Linked DNA regions of Macaca fascicularis. The main gene of each other region encodes a partner of the protein of the gene in region 3 in a complex. Links are inferred from orthologs where the notes say so. Each region holds a gene or a part of one and is shown on either strand. Other genes may lie near its edges.

Region 1 (4,950 bases), on a different chromosome or scaffold from region 3:
CCTCTGAGTACCTGGGATTACAGGCGTGAGCCACCATGCCCGGCTAATTTTTTTGTATTCTTAGTAAAGACGAGGTTTCACTATGTTGGCCAAGCTGGTCTTAAACTCCTGACCTCAGGTGATCCGACTGCCTTGGCCTCCCAAAGTATTGGGATTAGAGGCATGAGCCACCACGCCCAGCTGGACTGGTAACCTTTTCGAGGAAAAGAAGCTCTTCCTAGAGTTGGATTTTCCCCTATCCAAACCTATTTTTTCCATTTCTTCCATTAGACCTTTGCTTTGATGATGATGATAATGATGATGATGATGATGATGATGACGACGAGGATGCTTTTGCATTTACTGAGTTTCTACTTTATGCTCAGAAACGTGTTAAAGTTTTTGCACTTAATAACATAAACTTTCATTTAATATTCATGACAACCCTACAGAGTCAGCATCCTATTGTCTCCATATTACAGATGAGGAAAGTGAGAGTTTAAGAGGTGAAATAACTTGAGTTATTAATTCAATAATTAGATAAATTCATTTCTATCTGACCTAAACACCCATAATATTAATCAAATAAGCAAATAGGGGTGGTTGCCTGACTGTCCCCTCCTTATTTAGAGACAAAAACCACAGTGAGTGCTGCACATTCCAGCCAAATTCCATCACTTCCAAGTACTGGACAGAAATGAACCGATATAGTCAGGAGGCTCCAGAGAGACACACTGGGCAAAGACTGGCTAGAAATCTAAGGGTGCTTTTGCCACTATCTTTAAGCCAGAAAGAAGTACACTCTCTTAGAAGTAAATGAAATATTTATAAAGATGATCTAACTAGAAAAACATCCCAAAGACAGACCACATTTATTAATACAAAGTTCATCAGGGTTCTGAAGGCAAAAATGAGGTGTTTCAAGACTGCACTAAAATACAAAAACTCAAGGAGAGAAGTAAATCTCCTATTTTAAATTTTAGACTAAAATGTATTTACATTTGAATACATTACCTATAGCTGTATATTATTATGTTTTGATAAGCAGTAAATCATGAGACTAGATCTTAAAAGGAAAACCACGATGGAAATGTTTAAAATATTTACTGAGGTAATAGAAAATAACTTCAATGCTGTGTACATTATTATTAAGTAGTGTATTTTGTTAGAAAGTATAATCTGTAAATAGGCACAGTAAATGTTTGCATAAGTAATATATTTCTACTACAACAGATTACCAATGTGGATGATAAAATATGAGAGGAAAATAAAATGACTTCTCTCTTAGCTCTCCTACCCTTACCCCCTCACACCTAGACCTCCCGCTTCAACCACTTGCGCTTCTCAGGAAGTGCCACACTCTTCTAAGTGCTGGTGATGTGCACAGTTCCGCCCCTGCCTGGAACTCGCTGCTCCTCCCTGTTTCTGCCTAAGCCACTTCACCTATCCTCCTCCAGGAAGCCTCCGAGATCCCCTCCTCTGTGCTGGCATCTATCATTGCACTTTTTGGTATCCACAAGAGACTAAGAATTCTTTGATGACAGAATTATTACTGTCTCTCATTGTTTTTTATATCGCAGCACATGGCACTTAGCTAAGGTACTCAATACAGTAAGTGAATGAAAATAGATTGTAAATTTGACTTTTTTTTTTTAAGAAATAAAAGGAGGGGCCGGGCCCGGTGGCTCACGCCTGTAATCCCAACACTTTGGGAGGCCGAGGCGGGCGGATCACAAAGTCAGGAGATCGAGACCATCCTGGCTAACACGGTGAAATCACGTTTCTACTAAAAATACAACAAATTAGCCGGGCGTGGTGGCGGGCGCCTGTAGTCCCAGTTACTGGGGAGGCTGAGGCAGGAGAATGGCATGAATCCGGGAGGCGGAGCTTGCAGTGAGCCAAGATGGTGCGACTGCACTCCAGCCTGGGCGACAGAGCAAGACTCCGTCTCAAAGAAAAAAAAAAAAAAGAAAAGAAAAGATATAAAAGGAAAAATATGTTTAAAATGCAAATCCTGTACAATTTTATTCTGGCCCTCATTGTTCATAAGGCGTATTTTAAAAACACATGTAGAAGGATTTACTGGACATTGTCAACTGTCCATCACTATAAATATTTCACACCTCTGAGCCATGTAAACACGCTGTTACTTCAAATTGGTTATTATTCAACGAATGCATAAACTCTGATGGTGCAGTTGAATAATTATACATATAAAATAAAACCACTTCAAAACCATGATAAAAATTAAAAAGTACAACGGTAACTACAGTTTGGATAACTAGACGCTCCCTAGCTCTGCCACTGGCTCCAATGGGGAGAAGCCATTTATCCTTTGCTCTCAGTCCCTTCACCCATGAAATGGGGGTAACCATTCCTGCCACTTCCTCCTCCCTTCGCATCTTGCGAGGAGAATGGGGGTAAAACATCTGTAAGAGCACAGATCTGACAGATATTCACAATAAAGAGCTTTACGATAAAGGCACTAGCTCAAAAGTAGTGCCTAACCCCAAAGAAGAGTTCCCACTATCACTTCCGACGGTAACAACCCTCACTCCCCGCCGCTCTGGTTAGCAGGCTGATGCAGGAGGCTCCTGCATGAAGACTTTGCAGTCATACTAAAGGCCACATGGGTGGGCACAAGTTCCTCTCGCCGGTGCTTGGTCTGAGCCAAAAGCCACGAGGAACTTGGTCACCACCAGCGGCTACGATCGCTCCCCTCCGGACCCAGGTAAACCTGCAGAGTGAAACAGACCCCGGGGCTTTCCCCTCCTCCAAGTGGGGTCAGGAGCCGAAGGGCCAGAGCAGCGGGAGGAGGAGAAGGAGCTGGGACTGGCGGGCTCGGGCGAGGAGCTCACCTGGCCTCCCCGGCAGGCGCCGGGAGCGGGTGCGGAACGAACACCCCACAGTCAGGCGGCGCCGGCTGCTGCTTCTTTTTGGAGCGCCAGAGGTGGAAGGTGGTATGCTTCTTAGGGGGCCTGCACTGGCTGGGCTCCCCGGGGTCGCCCTGGGCTGGCGGGGACAGCGGCATCGTCTTGTCCTCCTCCCGCTGCGACTGCCGGGACGCGATCCTCTCTGCCGCCCGGGCCCTGTGGAAGAACACACCTGGGCGCCAGCGCCCCAGACTTTCCCAGCGCGCCGTGGGACCCCGCCCCCTCGTCGCGGATGCGGGGGACGGCAGCGGGTTGCAGAACTAGCACCACGCGCAGCGCGAGCAGCACTGCAGCCCGAGCTCTTGGGGCGGAGGAGGGGACCCAGCCGCGGGAGAGCGCCCCCTCGCTGCGCGGGCGGCAAGGGGCGCGAGTCCAGGTGAGGCGCGCGAGCCGGGAGCCCCAGGTGAGGCAGACACGCCCCGGCTCCCCACCCCCGGGGCGCGCGGCGGCCGCGGGACAGCGACACCTACTGGATGCTCTGGGCACCGCGTCTCCCGACACTGCATCCCAGGCTCTAAGCTGGGACCCAGAGCCGGTCCGGCTTTGACAGCGCCTGGGGTGCAGCGGCCATTGTCGCCTGCGGAGTTGTTGGCTGCTCTTGGCCTCTGACAGGCTGGTAGGATGAGTCGCTGCTTAGCCACGAGCCCCGCCTGGAGAGGGATGGGAGAGGCACATCCCGGGGGCGGGCCGCCCAGTAATTAGGACTCTTCCACTCTGATCTCTGGGTGACTTGGGCAATGTCATGTGCTGGTGGCTTCTGTTCCTGTTCGTGAACCGGGTGGCAACTCTGCCAACTCCTCTCCTCTCTCAAGAGCCTGAATAATTAATTTGTACTCACATCTCATAAAACACAAAAGGATTTAAAAAATTAAAAACGCCAGAAGGGAATTAGGCATATTCCCTAATTCCCAAAGGGCTTAATAGATCCCTCGCAGTAAATTAAATGCCAGTCCCACAAGGTATTTACATCATCTGCATTACTGTTGATGACTTTCTTGTCTTAACTTCACAGTCGTGGCTAAATAGCAAAGGAAATTAATACTTAAGCAAAGTAAGTAAACGAACAATCATTTTGGGTATCATTAGAGCAAAAAAAGTGCAAGAACTAAGTACTACTTAAAAATTCAATACAGTACAAGATCCTCTTTCATGGTAATAAGTCTTTATTTTCCTCTTGAAAAACACAACTCATTCATTCGTTTATTCTCTCATTCACAGAACATTCATTTTTATTAGTTTTTATTTACATTCTTATCAAGATGTAATTTATAGACAGTAAAGTGAACAAATCATAAGGGTAAAACTCAAATTTTTACATATTTATGTGGTTGGGGTATAAAAAGTTTTTTAAAGGAGAGTTCACATTGTCCTAGAAAATTATTCTGTATGTGGCTTTTAAATATATGATTATAGGCCGGGAGCGGTGGCTCATGCCTGTAATCCCAGCACTTTGGGAAGCTGAGGCAGGCAGATCACTTGAGGTCAGGAGTTCGAGATCAACCTGGCCAACATGGTGAAACCCCTTCTCTACTAAAAATACAAAAAGAAATTAGCTGGGCGTGGTGGCAGAGGCAAGCCTGTAATCCCAGGTACTTGGGAGGCTGAGATACGAAAATCGCTTGAACCCAGGAGGCAGAGGTTGGAGTGAGTCGAGATGGTGCCACTGCACTCCAGCCTGGGCAACAGAATGAGATTATTTCTCTAATAATAATAATAATAATAAGTAAATATATATGATTATAAAAACATAGAATACTTTCAAAACTTTAGAAATCTCCCTACTGTCCTCTTCTAGTACATTACCCCTCCCACCTGTAAAAGTTAAAAACTATTTCGTCCTCTTTTGCTGGAGATTAATTTGATCTTTTCTGGAACTTCATTTTAGTGGAAAATCACAATATGTACTCTGTTTCTGGTTTGCTTTGCTCAATATCAGTCGGTAAAAATCATCTATATTGTTGCTTACATTGTAGCAATTTTTTGTCTTGTTTTGTTTGAGACAGGGTCTCACTCTGTCACTCAGGTAGAAGTACAGTGT
Region 2 (4,832 bases), on a different chromosome or scaffold from region 3:
GTGTATATATTTCTACTATGGAAATGGTATAGCAAAAAAAGTATATTCTGTTCTATACTATACTATTTCTACTTTGACTTTCCGCTTATCAACCAAACATGCTTAACTGGTTTGACACAGGGAGCACTAGTATGCTTCAGTCTCAGATCCTCCTATCTTTCGTGGCAGGAAAGTCACTACCTCAAAACTGCCTTAGTAATCTTTAAACAGCTTGGATAAGAGTAATTCCCAGATTGTAGCTTCAGTCCTCAACCTAATGGCCTAATGTCCTATCACTGCTCCAAACCAATACTTCTTTTCTCACTAAACTGCCTACGATGCAAAAAGGCAGGTTCACCCACTGTCCTTTTTCCCTTCGAGGCAGTCTTGTAGAGATTCAATATCCAGTTTCCTGATCTGCCCTCGGTCCCCAGTTTGACTGTTCTCACTGCAGCTAACATCCCCTACTCGGTGAGCCTGTGTCTCCTCGAGGTGTTAACCTGATAAGGACTCTCTGCTGTACACTCTTTCACGATCTCAGGTCCTTCAGGAGAACCTCATGCCCTTACCCCCACTTCAATCCTATCACACTTGTCATTCCCCACTCTTCCCCGCTCTATACTCTACAATTATTTTTTCCCCAACTCCTGCTCATAGCCAGTCCTTCATGCTTCATTCATTCAACAAACATTTACCGAGTCCTGCTTTGTACTAATCCTTGGTCATTCAGTAATGTATAAAACGTGATTCTTGTCCACAATCACACAAGAAATGATATCATCCCTTTGCCAATTTATGTTTCTTCCTGTCCCTGCGGACCTCTAAAGCTACTCGCACACATACATTTCACTTCGTTATCAAAACCAATCCTATTATTGTTTGCTCTTCTCCTCTACAGTCATCCCACCGGTAACCTTCATCTCATTAATCACCACTTTGTGGCCCCTACCCCAGCCCCTAATTCCTTTCTATTCTCTGGAGGGCCAATTGCCCTTCCTTTTAACCTTCTGGTCCCCTGGCTATTTCCCTTCTTACGTCCCTTTTCTTGTTTATCCAGCGGGGGTGGGGGTCTCCCTAAAATTCCTTACACCCTGCTCCCCTGTTAACGCTTTCCTCAATCTTTGATCGCTCGGGTTACCTCTTTTTTTGCGCCCACGGCTGCCCCCAGGCCCTTGGCCTTTACGTTGCTTCATGATGAGCCCGAGCTCTTCTTCATCAGCACAACTCTGTCTCCACCACCTAAGCAGCCGCCTCCCGCCATCCCTCCCCACGGCGCCTGCGTTCCCCGGCAACCGGCGCCGCTGGGCAGCCTGGGAGGCAGGAAAAAGCCACTCTTCCTCTAACAGTCTCCGGAAAACAGTGGGAAGAGAAGGCGCCAAGACGCCTTCCCGCCAATAGACTACAATACCCAGGATGCTTTGCTACAATACCTCTGCGGGGTTGGCTGGGGGCGCCTCCGGCTGCGCAAGCGCATACGGATACGCCCGTTGAGGACTCCATTGCCCAGGGTGCATTGCCCTGAAGACGGCTCCTCTTTCCGGTGAAAGTTGTCGGGTTTCCAGTTGGGAGTCTGCGGAGTTCGCAGACTCTGTTACCCAGCTTCCTTTGTGTGAGGGCTGTTGCGCACTTCCGGTGGAAGTGCTGAAGCGAGTGGGTGGAGTTTGCAGAGCCGGTGGGCGGTAGGCGGTGCTACCGGTAGCTGGGTGCTGTCCAAAGGCGACTGGGCGTCGTTAGGGGAGCGAGTCGTGACCGGTTGGGCCACACTCAACGTGGGACGAAGGTTCGCCTACTGTTTGACTACGTGCGTGCAGCCTTTCCTTGATGTCGGCCCTCGAAAAGAGCATGCACCTCGGCCGCCTTCCCTCTCGCCCACCTCTACCCGGCAGTGGGGGCAGTCAGAGCGGAGCCAAGATGCGAATGGGGTACGTGACCCATACTCCTACCTAGGGGCCAGGCCCCGGCCATTGGAGAATGGTGGCTCTGAGCGTTCAGAGAGGCACGGGGAAGGAGTCTACCGATAGGAGAAAATGTTGGCGGCGGCCTGGAGATATTTAGATGGAGTAGAAGGCAGATTGGGGAACTAGGGGAGGCGCCAAGTCAATAGAAACTGGAGGAAAAATAATGTTGTTGGAGGGAGAGGGGAATGAGGCAAAGGTTGGGGAAGCTGAGAGACTAACATAACTGAGAATCACCTCCAGAATGAAGGAGGTTTAGAAAAAGGTGACAAAGGTGGAGGAAAATCGGCCAGGGAAGGTGGAGGGAAATGGGGAATGACCGAGAGAAAAGTTGAGGGGAATTGAGGCAACAACTAAGAAAAGGTTTGGGAGGAGTGGATATTGTAAAAGTTCTAATATGTATACTGTGAGAACTAGATAGTAGAAAAGCTTAGGGAGTTGGACAGGGTTGGAGAACGAAAGAGGAGCACTAGGAAGCAGACGATTCTAGATAATTCCCAGAGGTCTAAAGACAGTCAGGGAATGAGAGGTGAGATTAGGCCTCTTAAGGGAGAATGAGAAAGTTTGGGGAGTAGGCCTAAGGTAAGGTGGAGAATATAGCCATGAAGATTGTTAAGGGTAATAGGAATGTGCTGAGAAGCTGGACAGGATAAGGGAGAGAGAAGAAGGAGAGGACTGAAGAATTTGCAAAGTGACCATAGGCTCTAAAGATTGAGAAATAACTATAAATGCGGTTTGGTGAATGGAAGTGCTGCAGTTGTAAGGTCTGGGAAGCTTAGAGGAAGATTTGGGCAATCAGTTTTTGCGGGGCTAATAGATCTGAGGGAAGCAATGTACTGGCCTAAGACTTTGAATTAGTGAAGCATTGGGAGTTAGGGAAACAGTTTGCTGGAAAGAGAGGAGAGCCATGTTGAAGAGATAGGCTTTGGAATTTTAGATCATTAAATGGCTTGTGCCAGGTTAGGGGATACTTGGGCCGAGGACAAAGAATGAGGTGAACATGGGATAATTGCTGGAAAGTGGAGACAATTGAATAGGCATTTGGTTTTGAGGGGATATTTGTAGTTTCAGACAGGATTCTGGGAATTAGTGACTGTAAAGAGAAAAGGAGTAGGAAGGATACTTAGGTATGAGGACTCAAGAGTATATTTGGGATTCTAGAGATGAATTGATAAATATTCTTTGAAAAAGGACTACAGAAGAGAAACCTTAGGTTCTGAAGAAGTAATGTGTGTAAAAACTTACCAAAAGAAGCGAGAATAGGAGATGCAGTACTGTGACAGTAAGTCCTAGGGATGAAAAGAAAGGAGAATCCTATAAAACAGTGGGGTAAAGGAATGGGAAGAACAAGTGGAAAAACCAGGGAAGGAAACTAAGAATTGAAGTGGAGACCTGCTGTGATATACAGTAGAAAAAGGAGAAAACCTTAGCAGGGGGAGATAGAGAGATGGACGCACAATAGAGGAGGTAGAAGGCTACATAGAAGGTAAAGTGAAGATTATTTTGACTTTGGAAGATCGAAAAGTTGGACTATAACATGAATAAAGAGAATTTGGAAACTGACCCATAACATTATTTGGGAAAATTAACCTGGAGTTTAATATTAATGTAACATTAATTGTTATATATCTTCATTGCTGCCTTTCTTAAACTACAATTTGATCTTTCAGTATACCAGCACTCTTCTATACAAATACATAAGAAAATCAGATTTTTAATAATTATACATTCTTTAGATAAGTTTAATTAGGGCTCAGCTTCTCATTTTGTCAAAACAAGTTCTCTGAAGATTGAAGAACTGGGTGAAAATACTGAGAGAAAATAAAAGGAAAATCTGCTGATTAGAAGATTGTATAATTGTTAGTAATTCATCGTTTTTATTTTGTATTACTTTTCATTTTATTTTTTTTAGAGACAGGGTCTCGCTGTGTTGCCCAGGCTGGAGTGCAGTGGCACAATCTTGGCTCACTGCAACTTCTACCTCCTGGGTTCAAGTGATTCATGTGCCTCAGCCTCCCAAGTAGCTGGGATTACCGGCGTGCACCACCATGCCCGGCTAATTTTTGTATTTTTAGTAGAGATGGGATTTCACCATGTTGGCCAGGCTGGTCTTGAACTCCTGGCCTCAAGTGATTTGCCCCACTTGGCTTCCCAAAGTACTGGGATTATAGGATTGAGCTACCATGCCTGGACAACTTACCTTTTTAAATAGATGCTTTGGTCTTCTTGGTTTAGGGTAACTGCTTATCCTGGAAAAGAAAGTTCTTTAGAAAGGCCTTTCTGTATGGTAGTATTGTGAAGAAAATTCACAAAAATATGGTAGTATTGGTGAATATTTGTGTGGTCCTCAAATGGCTTATTTTCCCGTATTTTTCTTTTCTACTTTATTGGTACATAAGCAGGCTTCATCTAAGTCTCATGGTAGTAATAATGCAGATTCTCTTTCTCCTTAGAATCATAAAGCTGAAAGAGAGCATAGACATGGATCATTTCACCACTTCATCATGTAGTTGAGGAACTGAATATTCAGAGAGTTCTGTATTCTGTAAGGGAATGTATTAATAAATGAGGGAACTGAGACTCAAATATTCCTAAAGCACCCTAGAAGCTTAGCGGTGGGGCTGTTAAGGACTAGGACTTGGGTCTCTTGACTGTGAGACCCATTGTGTATTTTGAAGTCATAATTGTCATCTGGGAATACTTAATTTGAGTTGTGTATCTTACTCCTTTGCATATAATATAGGATTCAGTCTTTTTCTTCAGTCAGTTGTAATTTATGAAGTCTCACACCAATTTCAAAGCATTCTTTATGTCTCCTTATACTTGCTTTTTTCTTAACTTCTATTCTTCCACTCTATCTGTTACTCACAAGTTAGTCCTGTTCCCTTGATAGTCTCT
Region 3 (5,144 bases):
GTCTTACATGGCTGGCAAACTGCTTTCAAAACACACATTTCACATAGTAGTGGTTTTGGTATCTTTGAGTTACTGACAGACTTTTCAGGTTTAAACTTAACATTATTCATCCTTACAGCCAGGATCTTCCTACTAAAAATAGGAATAAATGAAATATACACACTGATGCTCCTATCCCTAAAGTAAGAGGATATAGGTACGTTAGCAAGAAAGTTATGGGGAGAAGAAATCTTAGCAGTTTTAATGAAAGATCAAAAGACCAAAAAAAAAAAAAAGGCATATCGCATACACCTCCATGAAGCACCTACGTTTCATCTTCATCTAAACGAATTTAGTCAAAAGGGTGACAGGGAAGAAATAAGCAAGTGAAATCCAAGCATGGCATAGTAAACCTCAGTTGTCTGCTATAAAGACAGGGAGGGACAGACTGGCACAAATGATCCTAACTATTGACATTTAAGGAACCTTTTGGATTTCTGCTTTTTGCTTTGGGGAGGGCAACAGATTTGCTGGAATAAACCACCTGCTGAAGAGGAGGGAGGTTCAGAATACACCAAGTGATAGAAAAGAGAGAACGCAGAGCTAAAAAAAAGTCCACTGCAGATCATCGCCAGTTCACTGTGCTTCCCAGACAGAACTGAACTCATTCTAATTTGGCTTACAGGAGGAAGTCTGACACTGGCAAATAAATGTCGTTTGTGATAAGACTGGGACCTCAATGATCCAGCTCTGGAGAAATGACACTCTATTAAGCCAATTATCTGCTACCCATGGATTCAAAAGGACCCATCAGCTCTGCCTGGGTCCACGCAGCTCCTGAACCCTTGGCCCCAGGTGCTCCAGTTCAACAATAAATCACAAGGAAGAAAAGGCAAAGGAAAGTGGTGACTCTGCAAATCCTCTGAAGGCACTTCACGGTGTGAAGGAACAGTATCAACCTTGTTCAAGTAGATGCAGTCCTCACTTGGCATTCCAGCTGTTCCTCAATGAGGCCAAAGCCAAGAGGCAAAGAAATTCACAAGTGGCCAATGCACGCGCGTGCACGCACGCAGGCGCGCACACACACACATACAGAATGTGAACAACAATAACATATCAAAATCAGGTAAATTTTTCAAATACCAACATTACGGGGGAAAGAGGCCAAGGAATCATCAACAGAAATAGGGAGCTAGCCCAGGACGTCAGTAGCAGAGATAGTATGAAGGAAAACAAAGGTGATGGAAGAAAAAGAACCAACCACTGAGTCGCCTGGCAGCTTGCAAAGAAGTGGCGGTGGCGGGGGATGACCCTAAAGCTAAAAGCAACATAGCAACACCCACCATAGACCCCATAACACCAACCTATACAGGAGGGCTGCTGGGTTTGAGGTGTGGGAAATGAACTTAAAAATACCAGTTCCAGGCTGGGCACAGTGGCTCAGGCCTATAATTCCAGCACTTTGGGAGGCTGAGGTGGGCAGGTCACGAGGTCAGGAGTTCAAGACCAGCCTGACCAACATGGTGAAACCCCATCTCTAATAAAAATACAAAAATTAGCCGGGCATGGTGGTGGGCACCTGTAATCCCAGCTACTCAGGAGGCTGAGGCAGGAGAATCGCTTGAACTCAGGAGGCAGAAGTTGCAGTGAGCTGAGATCGAGCCACTGCACTCCAGCCTGGGTGGCAGAGTGAGACTCCATTAAAAAAAAAAAATTAGCTGCATGTGGTGGCATGTGCCTGTGGTCCCAGCTACTTGGGAGGCTGAGGTAAGAGGATCACTTGAGCCTGGGAGGTGAGGGGTAGCAGTGAGCAGAGATTGAGCCACTGCACTCCAGCCTGGGTGACAAAGTGAGACCCAGTCTCAAAAACAAACAAACAAAATACCCCCAAAAGACCCACAAACCAACTCCATAGGCAAGCACAATTTTCATAAAATCATTAATAGTTTTCCAAAGCAAAACAGTAAATACCTAAACAACTAAAATTGAGGGTTATGAAAGACACCACAAAAAAAAAAAAAAACCTCACAGAGAGAAGCATTTTAGAAGATTCTAGGCTTTATCACTCTCAGTTTTTCTACCTTAAGTTAAAAGCTGTGTATGAAATACAAAGTCAATATTTGATGACAGTTACCTCTGATTCTACTGTGTCTTGTCCTTCTTTTGAACTTTTTCCACTCTTTCCTGCTTTTGGTGATTCCTGGTAAACATCAAGCAAAGGCAATTAGTCTTCTCACTTTTTAGACAGGTAAATATCAGATAAGCCAAATGCAGTTTTAAAAGTGATTTATTTATACAACTTAACTAGAGCTTCTGATATTTTTATTTCATCCCATTAGGAAATTCTAAATCACATTGTTTAGGATTCCAACAGTGCAATGCCCCCCACCCCCCATTCAGATTCCTTTCGTTTTATCTGCATTTGAGGTTGAAAACTTCAAGCAGAAAACAGATATATCCAATTTTACACAGTGCTTCTGGCATTTTGAGATCCATATCACATCCCTTTCTTCCTTCCCACCCTAAACCCTATGAGTGAGGATTTCTGGGGTGATAATGAAACGCTACAGAGCTCCACCTGAAGCAGAAACATACCCGCCCCCCTCGAATGCAAACGCAGCACCCTTGCTCGCAGCCCTCACCGCCGCCGCCACCCAGGATAATAATAGTGTTTGAGAGCCTCACAGCGTCCCTCTGGGGCGGCACAGAATTCCTTACCAGCTTTCAGCGGGGTCCCTTCCCGCTCCCTTTCCCCCGTCCAGGGGTCCCTCCCCAGGAGTCTACAGCCCCCATCCCTGAAGCTCCTTTCCGGGAGACTGCGAGGCTGCGAAACCCCTCGGCGGCCGCACCTGCCCGCCCAGGCCCACGGCGCGCTGTCGGGGGCCGGCGCCCCTCCGACCCTCTCCCCGGGCCGCGCCCTCCCTCCACGCTCAACCCCGGCCCGTCACGAAGGTCCCCGCGGCCCGGGCCTGGGCCCCGCGGTTCCGGCGCGATCCCCGGGCTCCCCGCCCCCACCAGGCTTGAGGGCGAGAGAAGCCAGGGGATGCCTGGCCCGGCCGCCCTCGGGGACGGGGAGCCCGCGGTGTCGGGCGGGGAGGCTGAGCCGGGGCCCGGGCGCAGGACCCCGGTGCCGTCGCGCCCTCCCGCGGCAGTCCCTCCCCGCTACCTCCGTCCCGCGGCCGGGCCCGGACTCACTTTCTCCTTCTTGTTTTTATTCGGCATGGCTGGAGCGGGCCACCTCCGCCGCCGCCGCCCCTGCCGCCGCCTGCCCCCGCAGCAGCAGCGCCCCCACCCCGGCCGTCGCGCCCCCGCGGCCGCCGCCGCCGCCGCCGCCGCCGCCGCCCGGGGACTGAGTCGTTCGCTCGCTCTCGCTTCCCCTTTTCCAGGCTCCCAAAGGCTGCGGCAGCCGCGGCGGCGGCGGCGGCGGCGGCGGCAGCGGCGGCGGCGTCTCTCCGCCCCTCCCCCGGCCGGCCCGCCCCGCCCCTCCCCACCCCCGGCCGGCCGCCCCGCCCGCTCGCCTCTCGCCCCGCCCCCGCGCCCGGGCCCGCCCCGCTGCCCTCAACAGCGCCCTGCCATTGGTCGACGCGCCCCCACGTGCCCTAACGCTCCCCGCTCCCCCCACCCTCTCCGCGCGACCCGTTCACACCCGCGCTCTCCGTCGCGAGTCGCCGCGAGCCGGCCTAAGGCAGGCCGCGGCCTCAGGGCACGGGCCTGGCCGCAGAGCAGAGCCGAGCCAAGTCAGGGGAGGGAGCGTGTGGCTGCGATTGCGGTGATAGGGCCGTGGCCCGCTGTGGAGGCGCAAGACAGAGCGTGAGACGTAGGAAATGCACATTTGAAATGTATGGCAACAACTTCTGCAGCCGGCGAGGCGTGAACCGCGGCCTCCTGGCCTCGCCCCCTCACCGCCGCAGGTCTCGCTGCAGTCAAGAGTGCCCCGCACGCTTTGCACTGAGGCGCACAGAGAGGCCCGGGAACCGAGAGAGCGGCTGTTTCGCGGGACCCCGCTAGGCCCCGCCTCCCCTCCCCTCCCTCCCTCTCCTCCCCTCCCTCCCTCTCCTCCCCTCCCTCCCTCTCCTCCCCTCCCTCCCTCTCCTCCCCTCAACCAGTCCCCAACCTCTCCCCTCCCCTCCCCTCCTCTCTCCTCCCCTCAACCAGCCCCCAACCTCTCCCCTCCCGTTCCCTGCCCTCCCCTCCCCTCAACCAGCCCCCAACCCCTCCCCTCCCCTCGACCAGCCCTTCCCCTCGACCGGCCCCTCCCCCCGACCGGCCCCTCCCCTCGACCGGCCCCTCCTCTCGACCGGCTCCTCCCCTCGACCAACCCCTCCCCTCGACCAACCCCTCCCCTCGACCAACCCCTCCCCTCGACCAGCCCCTCCCCTCGACCGGCTCCTCCTCTTGAATAGCCCCTCCCCTCACCAGCTCCACCGTCCGTAGATCCTCCCTCGAGGTCCCGCCCATCCGACAGGCCCGTCCCTCCCTAGTTGGTCCCGCCCTCCGCAGTTTCTCTCGTAAGGTCCCGCCTACCCGACAGCCCCGCCCTTTCCTGGTTGGTCCCGCCCTCCGCAGCTCTTCCGGCGAGGTCCCACCCACCCGACAGCCCCGCCGCTCCCCGTTGGCCCCGCCCTCCGCAGCTCCTTCCGCGAGGTCACGCCCACTCGTGCAGCCCCTCTCCTCCGGCCTCGGCCCCGCCCACCGAGGCCAGGCCTCGAAGACTTGGTGGCCGTTGCGCCAGTAGGATTTTATTTTTATTCTTTAATTTGACTGGATCGTAAATGGTAAGGAAACCTCTGCATGATGACTGGGAGTCACCTGATTTCTCTCCCCTCGTTAATAGCTGTGAGGAGGGGGTGTCCCAGGGAAAAACGTTAACTTTTTAATACAGTACTTCCGCAGTCCACCTCGTTCCCAGAACTATTGGAGACGCTAATGACAGGCGTCCCGGATTGCGGAAATGCATTATGTAGTAAGACTCTAGGAGTGTACGGATTTCACGTGCGAGAGGCATTGGTGCTTCACCTGTGATGATGAAGGAGCTACATCTTAACTGGCAGCTTAAAAATCATCGCGTTCTCTTAGTCCCTGGGGTTTTGTTCTTGGAAGTTGCCAGGCAGAGCATTTTCGATTATTCTCAGTAGTTCTGCAATGGGAAAGCTGAAAGACAGGGG

What was found. The genes of interacting proteins can lie anywhere in the genome.
Region 1: the proteins of PPP2R5C (region 3) and CRYBG1 are in contact, whole or in part, in a crystal structure (PDB 6VRO), measured with the Homo sapiens proteins. The link is inferred for Macaca fascicularis from reciprocal best matches to the Homo sapiens genes PPP2R5C and CRYBG1. Residues at the interface, in NP_002710.2 of Homo sapiens: Lys183, Thr184, His187, Tyr190, Gly191, Leu194, Arg197, Ala198, Arg201, Glu226, Ile227, Ser230, Ile231, Asn233, Gly234, Phe235, Ala236, Lys240, Glu242, His243, Pro265, Gln266, Tyr269; in NP_001358171.1 of Homo sapiens: Pro1136, Phe1138, Ala1139, Met1140, Pro1141, Pro1142, Ile1143, His1144, Glu1145, Asp1146, His1147, Glu1149.
Region 2: the proteins of PPP2R5C (region 3) and PPME1 are in contact, whole or in part, in a cryo-EM structure (PDB 7SOY), measured with the Homo sapiens proteins. The link is inferred for Macaca fascicularis from reciprocal best matches to the Homo sapiens genes PPP2R5C and PPME1. Residues at the interface, in NP_002710.2 of Homo sapiens: Asp180, His187, Arg188, Tyr190, Gly191, Leu194, Arg197, Ser230, Ile231, Gly234, Phe235, Ala236, Lys240, His243, Asp313, Gln341, Tyr348, Glu353, Tyr354, Glu399; in NP_057231.1 of Homo sapiens: Arg37, Lys38, Arg39, Asn192, Lys217, Val251, Glu252, Gly253, Ile254, Ile255, Glu256, Glu257, Pro345, Gln346.

Annotation. Positions count from the first base shown.
Region 1 is NC_088378.1:68,855,287-68,860,236, forward strand, and holds the start of CRYBG1 (beta/gamma crystallin domain-containing protein 1), read right to left. Parts: upstream 3,202-4,950; 5' UTR 3,011-3,201; coding exon 2,838-3,010; intron 1-2,837. UniProt on the Homo sapiens protein: May function as suppressor of malignant melanoma. It may exert its effects through interactions with the cytoskeleton.
Region 2 is NC_088388.1:73,042,988-73,047,819, forward strand, and holds the start of PPME1 (protein phosphatase methylesterase 1), read left to right. Parts: upstream 1-1,631; 5' UTR 1,632-1,800; coding exon 1,801-1,901; intron 1,902-4,832. Other genes in the region: C2CD3 (C2 domain-containing protein 3), read right to left, coding at 1,118-1,172. UniProt on the Homo sapiens protein: Demethylates proteins that have been reversibly carboxymethylated. Demethylates PPP2CB (in vitro) and PPP2CA. Binding to PPP2CA displaces the manganese ion and inactivates the enzyme.
Region 3 is NC_088381.1:169,857,831-169,862,974, reverse strand, and holds the start of PPP2R5C (serine/threonine-protein phosphatase 2A 56 kDa regulatory subunit gamma isoform), read right to left. Parts: upstream 3,372-5,144; 5' UTR 3,202-3,371; coding exon 3,175-3,201; intron 2,180-3,174; coding exon 2,114-2,179; intron 1-2,113.